Saccharomyces cerevisiae S288C: one gene and its partner. Changing the gene in region 2 together with the main gene of any one other region gives a genetic interaction. Each region holds a gene or a part of one and is shown on either strand. Other genes may lie near its edges.

Region 1 (3,166 bases), 210 kb from region 2:
GATATTATTTCATAGTACTTGAAAGACCTTGATTTGCCAGTGCCGGCCGTTCCATTAATTTGAACTTCATGTATCTTCACAAATAGCTCTTCACAAAGCCATTTGAAATCTGGACTAGGCGCAAAGTTTTGGGGCTCGGGTATAGAATCTAGTGCTGATATCATACCTAAATAATCCGTTACTATTTCCTTCAGTTCTAGATTTTTATTTTAGTATTTATTTTCCACATATTAACATATGTTTAAAGGATTTTTTCATAGTTAGATTTGTTTAAAGATTTAATATGGTGACAAAAGGTAAAAAGAGAAAAATAACAAAAAAAAGGAAAAAAGAAGAAAATAAGGGATCGAAAACGATCTTAACTCTAGTACTGCACAAACAACGTAAGTGATGAAACCGATATTATTGATCTATACTCGGCGAATCTTACGATTTATATCACAATGTTACATGTACAACGTACGTAGTTACTAAACACTGATTTCAGCCTATTTAATCACCTATCGAATTAAATTGCCTAAGGGGTCATAACTTAAAGGCTCTCCATTTTCTTTTGAACCACTTTCCTCGTCTTCTGATTCCTCAGATTGCGCTTCCCTGCTTTTCATGTTATCTATACGAATAGCATTACCTAAAGAGTCATATTCAATACATTGATTATTGCCTTCCAAATCAGATTGTTCTGAGTTTTCCTCACTCTCTGATGTGTCAGATTGCGAACCATTACCCCTTCTATTTATGTTACCCATCATCCATATATCTTCTTCTTTAGCTCGGGATTTTCGTTCTTGAGTTTCCTTTTCTAATTTTTGCAACCATTCCTCTTCAGCCCTCTTTACAGAGTCGCAGTCAGTGCACTGCTGATAGATTTCAAGCAATTCTTTGTTTAATTCTAAAAATCCCATTCCCCACGAGAAGTGTGATAACAATTCACTGGCCCAATCCATTCTCCCGACGATAGCAAAACAAGCCGCTAATGCCTCAACGCAATTGAGCCTCCATGGTCTCCCGTAATTTACTTGATTAGCGGCCACTAAATACGGCAGCAGCCTTTCGTGCTTACCGCCTATTTTATTGAAGGGTACCTCTTCTAAACGTGCCCAAGAACACTCGACCACCGAAGCGCCGTGTTGTTCGACAATTTCTAGATCATCAGGGCAAACAACACCTTTGCCGTTTGGCGAAACGACAATACCTTGAAATTTCTGTCCAACTCTCAATGATTTAATTAAGCCCAACCTTTCAAGTTTTTTACCACTGCATCTCTTTGGATCGCAATGATCAAAATCCCACATAGCCAGTTTAACAGGAAACTTCATTTTTTCTGAATTATCGTACTTCATTTCCATGCGCCTATGGTTTTGCCTGGAACTGTGCCCATTAGCGCCTCTCTGTGGTCTTCCATTTTTGGGTTCGTGCATCTTATTTTTACCTTTTCCCATTGTTACTGCTTACTCAACTGTCTTACGCGAGAAGTTCTATACAGATTTACATAAAAAGCTTTTCGATAAAGTATTTCAAATAGACATTTACTAGTAAAAATTTTTTTATGTAGTTTCTCATCACATTATATTTTCTAGTCTTCTCCGAAAATCGACGAATTTACCTGAAAAAAAGAAAAAGTAAACTACAGTCCCTATTTAAGTATTTCGCAAGTGATCTCAAAGTAAAAATAAAATTCCTGGTAACACTCATCCTAGATAGAGCTATATTTGTATCTACATAACATGTATTGCATTAAAGGCTTATTTCAGTCCACTATTGCTTGTTCTCATTGTCTGGTGTTTCATCTGTAGATTGGGCACCTGCTCCACCAAAAAGATTGCCTGCCATGTTTCTGAGTGCTGGGTTATTCATCAAGTCAGACAAATTTGGAGTTCCTCCGCCTGAAGCAAAGCCTTCAGCCATCTGTCTGATACTTGGATCTTGCATCATTTTTTGAATATTCTGCATTGCACCTGGATTGCTCATCATTTTTTGCGCAGCCTGCATCAATTGTGGGTTGTTCATTAAACCTCCAAGACCACCTCCTAATAAAGAACCAAGATCTGGCAATCCACCCGCACTAGCACCCTGACTTGCATCGACATCAGCATCCCTTGACTGTTCTGGAACGGTTTTCTCCAGATTCAAAGATTGCTCAACCTTCTTCTTGGCACTTTCATAATCCCTTTTCATAGCTTCTGTTGCATTATCGCCCTCTATATCAAGAACCTTTTTGTATGCTTCAAGGGCTTCTTCGGGTTTACCTTGCGCATATTTAGCAAAACCCAATCTAGAGTAGCCTCTGAAATAAGATGGGTCAATAGAAATTGCAGATTCAGCGTCTTTGACCGCTTGATCATATTCTTTCAGGGATGAATGAGCAGCCGCTCTATTGGCGTAATAAATAGCATTCGTTGGTAAAACTTTAATGGCTTCAGTATATTTATTGATTGCCAGTTCGTAATCCTTGTTGGCCATTGCTTTATTACCTTGCATTTTCAAGTCCTCAGCTTTGGCTTTAGTTTCCGCATCATCTTCTGGAATATTAATCTCGACATTCTCAGCATCGTCTTTCTTATTCGATTCTGGAACTCTTGACGCAGAATTTAATATATCAGCAAGATGTTGACCCTTGAATTCAGACTTGCCTAAAATGCCTGAAACAGCTTCTCTTTCAAAGCCAAAGGCTTCAGAGATACAGTCCATAGCAACATTTAAAGAATCGGCGCCATCTTCTGAAATTTCTTTCTTTTCCACAATGGAAGAAAAGTAGTTTACAATAAGGGCAGCAATTTCTTCTTTTGATGCTGACATCGTACAGTAGATTTGTATTAATAAGATATCACTTGGTCAGAAGCTTCTATTCAGTTGTCCGATTATATCGCTCGTACTCATTTTATATGGTGGCAAAATTTGGGATTAAGCGTAGGGCAATAAAACCTTCTCGGATCTTCCATTTTTTTCGATTGGGAAAATTTTAAGACTTGAAAAAGTTTGGAAAAATACAAAAGAAGGGCTAAGTGTTGTGATTAGAATGTCATGACAATAAGGTTAAAAGCAAATATTATGCCGCCTATAGCCCTTTAAAATAGCATAAAAGACCTTTGTAATTTCTATTCAATGTTAAAAAAAATCTTCCCCGCCAGGACTTGAACCTGGAATCTTCTGGTTCGTAGCCAGA
Region 2 (3,436 bases):
AAGCTTTTCAGTAAGTCAAACTTACCATCAGTATACCTATCAAAATCTCTTTCCTCTAATCCACCCAATGATCTAACTAAATGCAGCGATCTGAATATTTCATCTTCTGCCTCATCTTGTTCTGTAGATTTTATTGGTAGATTACTAGCAATGTATGCAACCAAGGCGCTAATATTGTTATAATCACCTTTAAATTTCTCCAAAGTTTCTGATATGACAAATTGAAAAATAACCCTTTCAGGGAAAATACTTATACCCATCTTCTCGAAATAAAGGTTAACGTTTTTGATATCCATCCTTAAAAAATCTAAACTCATTGGATGTTCAGGTTCCACACTTTGGGAAACATCGATCATATATAGTTTATCATCATGAACTATGGTGTTATACTCTGACAAATCGGCATGAACCAGGCGACAAACTTGGTACAGCAATCTCATATATGCCACCATTGTGTGATAATAATGGAAAATTTCATCACGATTCTTGTACGGATAATCTTTTAATTTAGGTGAGGCAAATCCATTACCTCGGCTTAAAAATTCCATAACTAAGACGTTGTTCTTAACTTCTATTGGCTTAGGAGCTGGAATGACGCCACTTTGATAAATTCTTTTCAGGTTCCTAAATTCCTTTTCAGCCCAAATTTTAATCATTTTCCTTGGATTATGTTGAGATCTGGAATTTCTAAATCTAAATTCACCATCAACATATCTTTCACGATCTTTGAAGACTAGGATAGAGGTCTTATAAATCTTAATGGCATATTCTGCACGGGATCCGTCTGTCTCTAAAACTTCATACTGGCCTGTTTCCTCATCTATTACGGGTGCCTTACCGGTACCTGCAAAAGCGTGGTAAACATTAGCTTCTTTCCCAGTACTTAAGCAACCGTTCAAATCTGCAATCACACCTCTGGTGACCATAGACTTCAAAAATCTCATAGTTCTCGGATCTAAGACATTTTCCACAGTCGCCCTATTTGCTTTATCCTTTGATGTTTTCGCTCTGCTGAATGATAATTCATCAGTTTTTATTTTGTGACTATACTTCTCTAAGAGCTGATTATTAATATGGTCCGAGGCACCTTGCGACACAGACAATGAATCAAATTTATCTTCCAAGGACATGACCTTCTAAAAATAACGGAGTTTGAATCTCTAAATCTGTTTTAACTTCTTTTTACTATTATTTTTAGTCTTAGTATCTCATCTCATCTCAATTTCTATATTCCACTATAAAATTTTTCACTCTTTCTGCGCGCGCCAATGTCCCCGCAACTACTCAATAGGTAACATGAGAATATTTCAGTTCGTAAGAGAGAAGAGATGAAGTTATTTGGGCTCTTTGCTCGAGGTTACAGAAGGGCCGCATTAGAGTGAATGAGCTGATGATATTTCGCCCAGTTCTACATTTTTTTTTTTTTGGAAGTATGACCTCTGTTAAATTTTTTTTTTTTTAAATTTCACTTTCTAAAGTCCCAGAAATCCGCTTGAATGTCTTACATATTGCAATGGATATGCTTGGGTGATCATACTTCCTGGCTTTAGATATTTGAAACTTAACTCTTGTCAACAAACTTCCTATGGAGTGTATAAGAATTGTAAGTTATAACACCGGCGAACAATCGGGGCAGACTATTCCGGGGAAGAACAAGGAAGGGCGGTCTTTTCTCCCTCATTGTCATAGCAAGGTCATTTCGCCTTCTCAGAAAGGGGTAGAATCAATCTAGCACGCAGATTGCAAACACGGCTTAATAATATGCCTATCAGGCATTCACCCGTGTGACGAATCGCACACCGCTGCTCTCCTTAATTCCCTAGAGTAGAAACCGAGCTTTCAGGAAAAGACTACGGCAGTAAAGAATTGCTTTACTGGGCGTATAAAACCGGGAGAATCAAGACATTCTAATGACTTGATTCAGGATGAGAGCTTAATAGGTGCATCTTAGCAAGCTAAAATTTGGACAGCTCTCATTACTAAATTAAGATAGAAAAATGCCTGCTACTTTACATGATTCTACGAAAATCCTTTCTCTAAATACTGGAGCCCAAATCCCTCAAATAGGTTTAGGTACGTGGCAGTCGAAAGAGAACGATGCTTATAAGGCTGTTTTAACCGCTTTGAAAGATGGCTACCGACACATTGATACTGCTGCTATTTACCGTAATGAAGACCAAGTCGGTCAAGCCATCAAGGATTCAGGTGTTCCTCGGGAAGAAATCTTTGTTACTACAAAGTTATGGTGTACACAACACCACGAACCTGAAGTAGCGCTGGATCAATCACTAAAGAGGTTAGGATTGGACTACGTAGACTTATATTTGATGCATTGGCCTGCCAGATTAGATCCAGCCTACATCAAAAATGAAGACATCTTGAGTGTGCCAACAAAGAAGGATGGTTCTCGTGCAGTGGATATCACCAATTGGAATTTCATCAAAACCTGGGAATTAATGCAGGAACTACCAAAGACTGGTAAAACTAAGGCCGTTGGAGTCTCCAACTTTTCTATAAATAACCTGAAAGATCTATTAGCATCTCAAGGTAATAAGCTTACGCCAGCTGCTAACCAAGTCGAAATACATCCATTACTACCTCAAGACGAATTGATTAATTTTTGTAAAAGTAAAGGCATTGTGGTTGAAGCTTATTCTCCGTTAGGTAGTACCGATGCTCCACTATTGAAGGAACCGGTTATCCTTGAAATTGCGAAGAAAAATAACGTTCAACCCGGACACGTTGTTATTAGCTGGCACGTCCAAAGAGGTTATGTTGTCTTGCCAAAATCTGTGAATCCCGATCGAATCAAAACGAACAGGAAAATATTTACTTTGTCTACTGAGGACTTTGAAGCTATCAATAACATATCGAAGGAAAAGGGCGAAAAAAGGGTTGTACATCCAAATTGGTCTCCTTTCGAAGTATTCAAGTAATTGTTTTTGCGTGTTTCTCGTATGATTGTAATATGTAGATAAATTAAACATAAGTATATCAAATGTCGATATTCTTAAGACTGTTTCGTAAATATGTTAAATACCGGATGTGACTACATATAAAAAGTGCGCCTTTTACAGTGATAATTAGCGTCAATCAATAAAATATTTGTAAAATAGGAAGCGAAATCCCGCAGATGCCAGAATAGGTGGTGTATAAGGCAAGAAAACTTTACCTGCATAAATTAGTATTGAACACCAATCAAGTAGTCAGCCAATTGCTCGACAATCTTGGTGGCCTCACCGGCTTGTACGGTTGGTGGATAATGAGCAATAATAACGGTTTGCTTAGTTCTTACACAAACAACACCCTCAGCATCATGTCTACCGTAGATACTTCTATCGTCAGCTCTCAACAACATGAACTTTTGGCCTTGAATATGCAAACCATTGCTTTGCAAACCAGCTGGATTGTCGAAGCCTTGAACAATTTCACCAAT

Evidence for each region.
Region 1: mutations in GCY1 (region 2) and TSR3 together harm fitness more than expected from each alone (negative genetic interaction), as found in Saccharomyces cerevisiae (2 studies listed by BioGRID).

The regions. Positions count from the first base shown.
Region 1 is NC_001147.6:337,180-340,345, forward strand, and holds TSR3 (ribosome biogenesis protein TSR3), read right to left. Parts: upstream 1,443-3,166; coding exon 501-1,442; downstream 1-500. Other genes in the region: DNA ligase (ATP) DNL4, read right to left, coding at 1-164; SGT2 (Sgt2p), read right to left, coding at 1,759-2,799. UniProt on the Saccharomyces cerevisiae protein: Aminocarboxypropyltransferase that catalyzes the aminocarboxypropyl transfer on pseudouridine at position 1191 (Psi1191) in 18S rRNA.
Region 2 is NC_001147.6:549,117-552,552, forward strand, and holds GCY1 (glycerol 2-dehydrogenase (NADP(+)) GCY1), read left to right. Parts: upstream 1-1,997; coding exon 1,998-2,936; downstream 2,937-3,436. Other genes in the region: protein kinase RIO1, read right to left, coding at 1-1,130; PFY1 (profilin), read right to left, coding at 3,182-3,436. UniProt on the Saccharomyces cerevisiae protein: Glycerol dehydrogenase involved in glycerol catabolism under microaerobic conditions. Has mRNA binding activity.